Sus scrofa: one gene and its partners. The protein of the gene in region 3 interacts with the protein of the main gene of each other region in a pairwise test. Links are inferred from orthologs where the notes say so. Each region holds a gene or a part of one and is shown on either strand. Other genes may lie near its edges.

What was found. The genes of interacting proteins can lie anywhere in the genome.
Region 1: the proteins of DNAJA3 (region 3) and TCF19 interact in a two-hybrid assay, tested with the Homo sapiens proteins (2 studies listed by BioGRID and IntAct). The two-hybrid records come from large-scale screens. The link is inferred for Sus scrofa from reciprocal best matches to the Homo sapiens genes DNAJA3 and TCF19.
Region 2: the proteins of DNAJA3 (region 3) and FAM214B interact in binary tests that used the Homo sapiens proteins (3 or more experiments, as listed by UniProt). The link is inferred for Sus scrofa from reciprocal best matches to the Homo sapiens genes DNAJA3 and ATOSB.

Annotation. Positions count from the first base shown.
Region 1 is NC_010449.5:23,557,978-23,562,083, reverse strand, and holds TCF19 (transcription factor 19), read right to left. Parts: upstream 2,808-4,106; coding exon 2,570-2,807; intron 1,622-2,569; coding exon of another isoform or gene 1,541-1,621; coding exon 979-1,540; intron 735-978; coding exon 494-734; 3' UTR 10-493; downstream 1-9. UniProt on the Homo sapiens protein: Potential transcription factor that may play a role in the regulation of genes involved in cell cycle G1/S transition. May bind to regulatory elements of genes, including the promoter of the transcription factor FOXO1.
Region 2 is NC_010443.5:235,904,336-235,908,282, forward strand, and holds the start of FAM214B (protein FAM214B), read right to left. Parts: upstream 2,808-3,947; 5' UTR 2,720-2,807; exon of another isoform or gene 2,694-2,719; intron 194-2,693; exon of another isoform or gene 1-193. UniProt on the Homo sapiens protein: Transcription regulator that may syncronize transcriptional and translational programs.
Region 3 is NC_010445.4:37,912,600-37,916,110, forward strand, and holds part of DNAJA3 (dnaJ homolog subfamily A member 3, mitochondrial), read right to left. Parts: intron 1,592-3,511; coding exon 1,458-1,591; intron 1-1,457. UniProt on the Homo sapiens protein: Modulates apoptotic signal transduction or effector structures within the mitochondrial matrix. Affect cytochrome C release from the mitochondria and caspase 3 activation, but not caspase 8 activation.

The DNA.
Region 1 (4,106 bases), on a different chromosome or scaffold from region 3:
GCAAGCACCTTGGAGTGTATGAAGCTGCTCATTCTTTATTCGGAAATGGAAGCAAAGCTCTGAAAAGTCAGGTCACAGTCATGGTCAGTGGCAGGACTATCCACAAGGTAAGGAAGGCTAGGTGCTGCCATTAAGATCTTGCTTGCTCAAGTCTGGGGCTGCCACCCTCCCAGGCAGGCCCTCTGCAGTCGAATGCTCCTGACCACACATTCTAGTGTCCATGACAAGGACCCACAACAGCTTATAACAGTGGGGATTTCCAGCTCACTGGCAACTTCCTGGAGGCAGCAGTATCTTTGGCAGGAAACCATCTCTTCTGTCACCTTGGCTACAAGGGCCTTGAATTGATAATCCATAGCAATGGACCCTTCCTCTGTACTCATCCCCCCACCACCCCAGGGGAAGGCAAGGGAAGAAGAAGGCATCTCTTAGGACTCCCTGTCCCCCCATGGCCTGGAGGTGCCGGCTCTGTCCTCTGGTGTTGGTGGCCGCCCTAGCTCTGGATGCCTACACGGCAGCCTGGGCACCGGAAGTCAGCTTCCTTGGCAGCCTGGATGCTGCAGCCAACACAGGCCACATGGAACCAGGTGTCACAACCATCACACTGAACCCAAGCTACTGTCTCTTCTTGGGGTAGGCAGCAACAGGGGGCTGCACAGGGCTCCCCGCCCCCAGCTGCTGGGGGAGCCCTGGGGATGCTCACTGGGTGCTTCCGAGGACGCCCACGACGATTTCTGAAGAAAGTGACACAAAAACTAGGGTCACTGGAAACCTGCAGAAACTTAGAACTTTCCCCTGGGTAATCAAAGTGAACCTATATGGATTCACTAGAATCTGCCGAGCAGAACCAACCCAGGTCTTGCGATCCCAAGGTCCACCTCTGGTCTCTATCCCCCGGGCAGAGCCGCCTCCCAGTCTAGGGCTCTAAAAAGGAGTTAAAAGGCAGTGAAATGATGAGATGGAGTTCTCTCCACTTACCCACTGGGTGTCGGTGGGGTTTTCTCTACACGGAGCAGTTTCTTCCTGGGCTCTATAAGCACGGGTGGGAGGCTCTCGGGAGCCTCTCTCTCATCGTCCAGTTCTGCCAACACGCGGTGAGCGGATTTCCTCCGGTTTCTTGGGGGTGGGGCCGAAGGGGTGGTCCTCACTTCCCCAGGAGTCGTGGAAACGGGTGGATTCTGCGGCCCACTCCCACTCCGAGAGAATGTGAGCGGCTGCAAGTGGAGCTTGCTGAGGCTGCCGATGGAGTTGAGGATCAGGGTGGCTTTGGGGGTGGGGGAGAGGGTGCTGAGGGGGCGCTGGGGGGCCCCTTGGGAGGGCAGCATAGGCCGGAAACCAGCTCTGGTTTCTCCCTCTTCTCCCCTGGACCGTGGGATGGTGATGGCAGCAAAATCTTGAGGTTTGACTCGGACTTGCTGAAACATGTAGAACTCTGAGGGGCTGGTTCCTGGGGGCCCTTCAGGGCCAAAGGTCAGAAGGTCACCATCACTCAACTCCAGCCTGTGACCCCTTGGGAGTCGGACATTATTGACCAAAGTCCCTGTTGGTGGTGGGACACCAGACAGAACGACAGAAACAAATGGTGGGTCAGAAGTGGAGAGATCTGGTCCTGTTTGATTTTCTGGGGAACACGAGGAAGAACATTGCATCTGTTATCCAGTTCTCATGTTCTAAGTCCCTTCGCAGGTAACACCAGATAGCAAGCTCTTTGTGAACTGGGAACAAATTTTTGTTTCTTATGCCCTCCCACTGGAGGCATGGAGGGAAAAAGCTCCTTCCCTCAATCTACTGAGGTCTGATTCTCAGAGATGCTCACTCACCCAGCTCCGCCTCAACACCTATCCGCATAGTTCAGATTGTCTAGGTTCAAATCCAAGCTCCACTACTTAACCAGCCATGTGGCCCTGGACAACTTTTGTGCCTCATTTTCCTTGTCTGGAAAGTGGGGATATTTGTGCTCACCTACATTTAGTGCATTTAGGACAGTTCTGGCTTGTAACAGTAAGCACTAGGTGCATCTTGGCCACTAGTTATCCAATCCTCACAACATTCCCAACCAAAACAGACCTAAGAAAGGCTTATAGTTTACCTAGGAGGAAACTAATACCTAGAAAGGTGAAGTGACAGGCCTGAGGGACGCTGCCGGGGGTCAGTGGCACCACTCAGATGTGAACCCAGGCCTTCTGAGACTGTAATTGCCTCCGAGTCAAAGGAGTAAGACATAGGTTCAGATCATTAAAACAATTCAACATGTAACTGCCCTAAGCCAAGAACAAGGTGCCAACTTGGGAACAAGTCTGGAAACTTGGTCAAGTCTGAGCTTGGCCCCAGGACAACCCACTGCGATACTTCTCTGATGATGCTCCCGCCCCTGAATGAGCTAAACAAGGTCAGCTCCACAAAGAGCTTCTGACACTGCACATTTCTGGTGGGAGGACAGGTCTGGGTGATAACCATCCAGCCAGCCCAAAGGGGAGATTGGGTGGAAGGCAGGCAATGGTCCCTGTGGAGACTTTGCAGCCCAGAACTGCCATTGCCCAGGCATAAGGCTGCTCTGCTCACTCCTCACCTTGGCTGCTATGGTCCTCCAGGCTGACCCTCCAGTCATCACCCCGGCGCTCAGCGTGCAGCTCCGCGTGGACTTCCGAGATGAAGCCGGGCTCCTGCTGGGGCCGCAGGGCCACATCACACAGGTCGGCCCTGCAGCCCAAGCGGTAGGTGCAGCCAGCCCCACTTGGGGGGTGGAAGGTGTAAAGGTCGACACCCCTGCCGCCCCCTATGCGCAGCAGCTGGAAGCAGGGCAGCATGGGCGGTGCCCCCTCTGCACCACCTCTTCCACTTCAGGAATCCATCACTTCCCAATCCTGGGCCATGCACAGCTGGCCTAAGTTCTCTTTCCCTCTGATGCAGAGTTGAACTGTGCTTTGTGCAATCTCAACCTTGGGCACGCTCCCCGAATAGTGTAAATTCAGAGTGCAAGGGCCTAGGATTCGATGCAAGATTGGCTGTCAACAGTTTTCCAACTGAAAAATTTCGTGAGGGTCCCAGTATAGTGCAAAGACGAAGATGTCCTATGGCACGAAGTTGAATCAGATCCTCAGGCTGCAGAATATTCCGGGAGCCTTCAAGTCTGTGCCAGGCAACAATACGTTAGGCAGCTTCTGGGGAATATGCGAATTGCAAGGGGGGAGGACTGGGGTCCTGCTTCTGTGTGATACTAACTTGTCACCTCAGTGTAATTTGGAGAAGTTTCCTGTCAATTCTGCTAATCCAAACAGAGTAACCCACCTGCTAGCCTGCGCCTCGCTCTTCTGGCCAACCCCTCACTCATAACTAGATAGCTTAAACCCCCGTGGGAAGTCTATCCACTGTCATCCCTCCAAAGGCAGTGCAAATGGGTCTCTATGTTCTCTAACAAAGCGGATCTAAACCCCTGCTTCCCGACTTCTCCAGGTGGGATTAAAGACAGGATAGGGCTTCCCGGGATCATGCGAGGGAAACCCAGCCTTTTCCCTCCCCGCCGCAATCCAGATTCTTATCTACCGCGAGGTGCAGTCTCGAAGCGGTCCCCTCTCCGGGCAGTGCCAGCCTGTGCGGCAGCTCAGGATCTCTCAGGCTCCGGCCAGGGCTGGTGCTCCAGCGGCTGTTTGACAGCGAGGAAGCCGGGGCCAGGAGGGGCGCCGTCTCCGCGCGCGGGCAGTACCGACCCCGCCTTCGGAATTCCCGGGTCTGAACTTCGCGCCGAGAGAGCCCGCCCCCCGTGCCGTTTCTGATTGGCCATCTCTTTTGCCCTCCTTCTCTCCATTGGGCGACGCGCTGGGAGGGTCTCCGATCTCCCGCCTTCCGCTTTTTCTGATTAGTTCACAAGTTTTCCCGGGTTCCCGGAGTTGGGAGGAGCCGCCAGGGCGCGGAGATGCCCTCAGTGCCATAATTGGGCCGGGCTTTAGACTACCGCGCCTGCGTACACCTCTTCCCCTCCTCCTCCCGGAAGGGTGAAGGGCTTTAGAGCGTCCCGCCAACCTGCCCGCTTTGCGCAGGCGCGGTCAGGGGCTGAGGCCGCGCTTCTGAGCTAGGGGTAGGGGGTGTGGTCAAAGGGCAGAGGGGTC
Region 2 (3,947 bases), on a different chromosome or scaffold from region 3:
GCCTAGGACTTAATTATTTGCAAAGACCATGGGGCAGCAGTTTAGGGGGAAGGATCATAGATGTTCTAGGTCTCAGTGTGCTCTGGGAAAGCAAGCAGCATGGTACAATCAAGAGGCTTTAAGTAGCTGCTCTAAATTCTCCTGCTTTATTTTTTTTTTTTTAATTTTTATTTATTTATTTTTTTTGTCTTTCTTGCCATTTATTGGGCCGCTCTCGTGGCATATGGAGGTTCCCAGGCTAGGGGTCTAATTGGAGCTGTAGCCACTGGCCTACACCAGAGCCACAGCAACATGGGATCCGAGCTGCGTCTGCAACCTACACCACAGCTCACGGCAACGCCGGATCGTTAACCCACTGAGCAAGGCCAGGGATCGAACCCGCAACCTCATGGTTCCTAATCAGATTCATTAACCACTGTGCCATGACGGGAACTCCTATTTTTTTTTTTTCATAGCAGTTATCACCAGACATCATTTCTCTCTTTCCTCTTCTCTCCCTCTCCTGCTTGCCCCCCTACACACACACACACACACACACACTTCTTTCTTTCCCTATTAAAATGGAAGCTCCATGAGAGCAGCAACTTTGTCTGTTTTATTCGTGCTGGTACTCTCAGAATCAGCATCGGTGTTTGGCACAAAATAGGTGCTCAGTAAACTCTAGTTGAAAGAAACAATGAGCCCTGAGCTGAGTGAACAGCAATCAGGAGACCTGGGTTCTAACACCTGTTCATTCACTATGAGATCTGGAGAAAATCTCAGTCTCTGTTCATTTCCAAATCTGTAAAATGAGTTTGTATAAATGATGACCATTGAGAGCCTCTACAGCTCTGACCTTATATTGCTATGATTCTAATGGCTATTGTTCACTCAAATCCATTTCCAGAGGATGAGTCCAAGCATCTGAAAGCTCCGCTGATCGTTCTGAAGCAGAAAGGCCATATACTCCAGCCTCTGCACAGCAAACTGATGCTCTTTCTCTTCATGCCCCACCCACTCACACGAATGCCTTAGTCCAGAGGAAGCTGGAGTGAGTCTGCCCTAGGCCCGCCTCTCTGAGAGACAGACTGGGAAGCTGTGTTGCCATAGCAATCAGCTCCTCCTCAAAAGGCTTCAGCCTGCCCTCCTTTACCCCACCCTACCCCAAGGCTTTGTCTGGCCTCAGCACCCCCTCCTCCCCACCAACCCGTCTCTCAGCCAGAGGAGGCTGGCTTGGGGCCCCTTTCAGCAACACTGTCACACTCATTCAGCCACTGTGTGGAAAACAGGGCTTTCCCACCCTGTCCCAGCCAGCCCAGGGGCAAAATGAACTCTGGCCCTACACCAGGTCCCCTCAGGGAACCAGAGGAGCCCCCAAGTGGACTAGGCCCTAGTCTCAGTTTTGACAGTCAGCTTCCAGGTCAGGAGTATGGGGAGCCATTCCTTCTTCCTCCCCCAGCAGAGGCTGCAACCTCACATCCCTTCTCAAGTTCAAATGACAATAGTGACCCACCTCTCCAAACATGCATCAAAGACCCTTAGTACTTATTATTTTCCCCTCCTACAGACACCCAGAATTTTTGACGGTCGCAATGTTACCTACCCAGGAGAAGGAAAAGTGTGGGGAAATTTCATTTGTGGCAAGTGGTAAAAATGTGTCTACCATTCACTTGGGGGCCTGCTGGGAAAGACCTTGGTAGTAGTGAGGGTGGGGTCTGGGCCTTGCTGCTAATTATTAGGTCTCTGGCCACTGAGTACAAAGTCTGGGGCAGGCACAGCTCCTAGACATGCAAGGACCGGGCCAGGCCCCAGGGCGAGGAAGGAAGTGGGAAATGAGCACACCCAGAACATAAGGGCAGAGCAAAGTGGGGGAGGTGGGGGAAGACAGGGACCAAGGCAAGCTTCTAGAAGGAACAGGAACTAGAGTGGGGGGTTAACAGGAACAGAATGGGGGAAGGGTCCCCAGAGACACCAACGAAGGGGGAAAAAAAGAAACCAAAAAACCCAGACTCAGCCAGACAGATCCAGAGCTGCCTGAGAAGGTCGCACAAGCCCTAGTGGCAAGTGGGGCCTAGATCCTCTCTAAGAGTGCTCAGGCCTGAAGGTGGAGTTAGGAGTTGAGGAGCCAGGAGCACTGCAGACGGGCTTCTTCACCCCAGCAATTTCATCACCCTCATTCCTAAAACACAGGACACAAACATCTTCCTGGAATCTCTATAATGCCCCCACACTTTCTCAAAGCACTAGGGGTTCTTCCCTCCCCAGCTGGGGCCTGCAACCCCTTCCCTTCGCAGAGTGCCCACAGCCCCATCCCTTCTTCCTCCACACAGGCCATCTGTCCCTCCCACACTCTGGACCACCAGCCCTTCTCCATCACACAACACCCCCTCTTCCCTTTCCCCCTAAGCTCCTTCAGAGTCCCTCCTCCTCAAGTATCTTCTCCAACCCTCCACTTCAAGATAAAGACTTCACCCCCTACCTAGTACTTCCCACCCTCACAAAGCACTCCCGCCCCTCCCCCACAAGGGCTACCGGAGAATGCACCTCCTAGCCCACACAGTGAGCCCCAGCTCCTCCCCTAACTCTGCTTTACTCCACCCTACCCCAGCATTTCTCCCAATTCTCTCCTTCCCTAAAGCGATCCCCACCTCCTCATGTCTGCCCAAGCGCACCCCGGTCCTTGTCCCTTCTTCCACACGCACCCCACCCCACACCTGCAGTTCCGTGAGTCCCGCTGCACCTGGGGAGGTAGTGGATTGGGGCAGTTACACAGCTGCCCCAGCTGCAGCCTCCTCCGGCAAACCTCGCCCCTTTGGTGCGAGCCCCGCCCCCGCAACGACAAGACCCACCCTCCCCCTGTCCCACCTCCCACCTTCCCCCCCCACCCCGCTTGTCCTTTTTCCTAGTTTCTGTAATTCCTGGGGCTCCTCCCCTGTAATACAGGTCCCGCCCCCTCTAAGGCCCCGCCCCTTCTCGTCTTCTCGGCGTCTCCCCATTGAACACTGCTTGCCCGTCGTCCCCTCCAATCCCCGCCCCTTTTTGGTCTCCTTGCTTGTCACTAGGACCCGCCCACTCGGATTCCAGCCTGGCAGAACCGGTGCCAAGCTCCTTTCCAACGCTAGCCCCCTCAGATCTCTGAGCCTCTTCTCCCCCCGCCCCTTCTCCCACTAGCCTCACCCCGGCGCCCGCTCTCCAGCCGGGAACCGCTGGCTCTGATTGGTGGTGGTGGTCCCAATGGATGGTGGAGGAGACAAAGTGATGGCTGCAGGTCGCCTGAGGTCCCACCCCGGCCACGTGCGGCTTCTGTGATGACAGGTTTAGATGGGCGGGGCATGTGCCCTCTGTGTGAGGCCTAGGCTGACCGGATTAGGCTGGAGGTGGGGAGCCAGAGCCAGGGTCAAAGCGTTAGCCTGAAGGCGCCGAGCCTGAATGAGGCCCTCTCAAGCTTTTGCGCTGGTGTGAGCAGCCTGCGGAACTTGAGCCTCTTAGTGAAGCCGTCTGCGTTAGCGCGTGTATTTGCCTTAATGGGGGAGGTCTGTGGGACTTGCAAAGTAGCACAAGGGGTCTCAGGGTTCTGTAAAAATGCGCAAATCTGGTTGACGGGGTCTCAACTCTGTGAGGATGAATAATTTCTGCAGCCTACTCTGTTCAAGAGAGTCTGAATTCTGGGAGACAAGAAGTAAGAGTCAGATGTGTACCTGTAGAGATAGGTCAGAGAGTCGTCTGTGAAATTCATGAGCCTAAGTGTTACTACAGAGTAAGGGGAGCCTGCAATCACTGAAGAAAAGTAGAGCCTTTGCTTTGCACGTGTCAAATCAACTATGTGACAGGAGTTCTGTTGTGGCTCAGCGGTAACTAACCCGACTAGTATCCATGAGGATGCAGGTTCAGTCCCTGGCTTTGTTCAATCCTATGGGTTAAGGATCTGGTGTTGCTGTGGGCTGTGGTGTAGGCTGGCAGCTGCGGCA
Region 3 (3,511 bases):
TACAACCCTGCTGATGTAGTAAAACCCAGTGAATTCCAGGTTTAAAAGAAAAACTAAGAAGAGGGAATAGCTATCCAAACTTTAAGCTGTTGTTAGGTCTGGTCATGATCAGTATTTGATTCACTAATATTAGGCTTAGACAAAGTTTTTCCTTGTCCACAAAAACTTTTTTAAAAAAGGAAAAAAAGGATGTTCCAGTGTGGCACAGCAGGTTAAGGATCTGGCATCGCAGCTGTGGCGCAGGTCACCACTGTGGCAGGGGTTCAATCCCTGCCTGGCCCAAGAACTTCCACGTGCCTGAGGTGTGGCCAAAAAAAGGGGGGAAAAAATCAGGATTCTTAGAGCAAATTTTCCATAAACATAATTTTTAAATTCAAATTTTATTAATTTTTATTAAATTTTAATCATCTTTATTCTATTATAGCTTCCCCTTTTGGGGGGAGCAGGGGCGCATCTGTCGCATGCCCAAATTCTGGGGCCAGAGACAGAACCTGTGCCACAGCAGCAACTGCAAGCCAATGAAGTGATGATGCCAGATCCCTAATCCACTGAGTCAGAGAAGAACACATCTTTCCTCTTTCTATAGTGTTAAGGTGCTCTTTCTTTCATCACATGACATTAACAGATTAAATGTGATCATTTTTAACATCCACAGTAGGCAAAATACGAAAGCTAGCATTCCTACGTCAGAGCTCACAGTCTTTAACTTTTACTTTATTGATCAGAGCAAAAGTCTGGAACCCACAGATCTAGATAAGTCACATGCCACTGTACCAATCAGCCCAATACATTCTGGGATATGACGATGGGAATTTCACATTTTCTAGGTTAAGAAAAAATTCTAAATCCATGAACTTTTATCTGAATGCAAAGAATGACTACCCAAAATAAGACTTGGACCACCACACCACAGTTTCAGAAGATGCAGAATAAATTTAAGTACAAAAGCAGCCCTGGGAGTTCCCGTCGTGGCACAGTGGTTAACGAATCTGACTAGGAACCATGAGGTTGCAAGTTCGATCCCTGGCCTTGCTCAGTGGGTTAAGGATCCGGTGTTGCTGTGAGCTGTGGTGTAGCTTGCAGACATGGCTCAGATCCCGAGTTGCTGTGACTCTGGTGCAGGCCAGCAGCTATAGCTCTGATTAGACCCCTAGCCTGGGAACCTCCATATGCCTCGGAAGTGACCCTAGAAAAGGCAAAAAGACAACAAAACAAAACAAAAACAGCAGCCCTGGAAAAAGATTTTTTAAACTCTCTGGTTCTGAAGCATTAACCAGCATGGCTTCCCGCGCTCGAGGAACACAGCCCAGCAAAGCCCATTTTTATCATCTGCTTCCACACTGTCAGCTGCACGCAACCTACATTTACGGGCATACGCCTTGCACTGCTCAGGATCGGACTAGACTGAAAGTGTACCTTCTGAAATCTTGCCTCTAAAATCTGGCTTCCATACAGACCTGGTAATAGGCCTTCTTGATCTCCTTCTGGCTGGCACTTCGGGGTACTCCTAATATCTGGTAATAATCCTCTTTGGACAAAGTGGCGCTCGTGTGAAAGAAGGCAGTACAAACAGAAGGGGAACTTTTTACTCCTAAAAAAGAAAAAAAGAAAAAAAAAAATCACGCTGGGAGTGACTCAATGAAAGGAAATTATGGGCAAACAACCAGCCAGGCTATACCCGTAAAGGTCACAGCTTTAGGGCTTGTTCTCCCCCAGGCCCACTGGACACCAAACTCACTGCACTCCCACCACAGCTAAGGCCGCTGCATAGGGAGAGCACAGAAAGCGCCGTCAGAGCGCCGGGCGGCCGATTCCGTAGGATCACACTAGGGCCGGAGCCTCGCGGTGCCTCAGGAGGAACCGCACCCAGAAGGGCTGCACCTGGGCATGACCCAAGGGATCCTGTTTCCCTGCCCACCCAGCACGCCTCGTGCTGCACCTCGATGCCTCACAACTCATAGGTCCTCCCTCCACCGGGCACCACTGGATGCCTGCTTCCGGGGTGGTTCAGAGTGTAGTGCCTGAACCAGCAGCAGCATTAGCTTGTTGGAAATGTTATCCTCAGACCCCATCCAAACCTGAATTGGAACCTCTGAGGGGTGGGGCCCAGCAGGCTGTGCCTCGAGCCCTCCAGGTGGCAGTTCCACCACACAGAGAACCACCACGCTAGAGAAACCGCTGGTCGTCAAAGTCACATCTCTCTGAGGATCCGACAAAAAACAACGCGCACATATAGAGAGAGACACAAAAAATTAAACGGCTCTGTTCCAGAACCTGCTCACCCCAGGGTAACCCCCAAAGAGATCAAAGCACGTGGCAGCCCCCGCCCCAAAACCCTGCCCTCCCTTCAAACCTCTTGCACCAGCAGCTCGGAGGAAAGGCTGACAGACCCTGCACGGAGCAGACAGCTAGCTGGACGGGCCTGGCACCACAGGAAGGGGGGCAGCTGCTCGACAACCTGCACCTTGCGACAAGTGAAGATGGGGAGGGCAGGGCAGGGGCTGAAGGAGCCCAGTGAGGGCAGAAGGGAGAGCAGGGCCAAGGGGGAGAATGAGGGTCATGAGGCAGCTCCAGGTTTTTAAGTGGACGGTTCACCGGCCAAGGAGGAGCTTCTGGATTCACCCCTTTCATCCAGCAAACACCCACTTCAGCGCTACGCCTGCCAGACACTGGACTTCTCACCAGGGACACAGCAGCAAACCACTCAAAGGAACCGCCCCCTGGGAGCCCACATTTGTTCCAGATCTTAACACTGTTCTAGGCACTGAGGATTCTAGACGAAGCATCCAAGCCTGGGCCCTCAGGGAGCTTAGAGCTCAGCAGGGGAGTGTGGGAGACAGGGTCACGCAAAGTGAGAACACACAAGAGGGTCACCGAACCAGGTCTCTCAAGCCATTGCGTGAAGTTCTCATCACTCTTCATGCTGGGACTCGGCTCCTCTCGAGAGGGGCAGGTGTGGGGTGGGCTGTTATGGGCTGGACTGTGTCCCCCCTCGCAAACTCAGATGCTGAAGCCCTACCCTCCCCTGGCCCTGCACCTTAGAATATGACTGTACGTGGAGATGGGGGCCTTTACAGACAACCCTGCCAAAAACATTGATCTTAGACTTTTATAGCCTCCAGAACTGCGAAAAAAATAATTTTCTATTTTTTAAGCCACTTAAACTGTGGCACTCTGCTATGGCAGCCCTATGTATTTATTTATATTCTAATATATCTGTGTACTTACTGTAGGATGTTTTAGCAGCATTCTTGGCCAACGAGCTACCAATAGCAGCCCCAACCCCAAACTGGCCACTAAAAACATCAGACGCTGGCAGACATCCCTGAAGGATAAAATCACCCCCAGCAGAGAACGAGTAAACCTACTCTCAGATGTTCGGGCACATCTTCTCAGGCACCTGCTCTTAAGCTGGAGAAATCAGCGAGGCTAAGGAGGGCTTGAATCCGCACAGATTTCATCTTACGGTCCCCTCTTCTGCTTTCACAAGCACCCGGTTTGGTCGCTACAT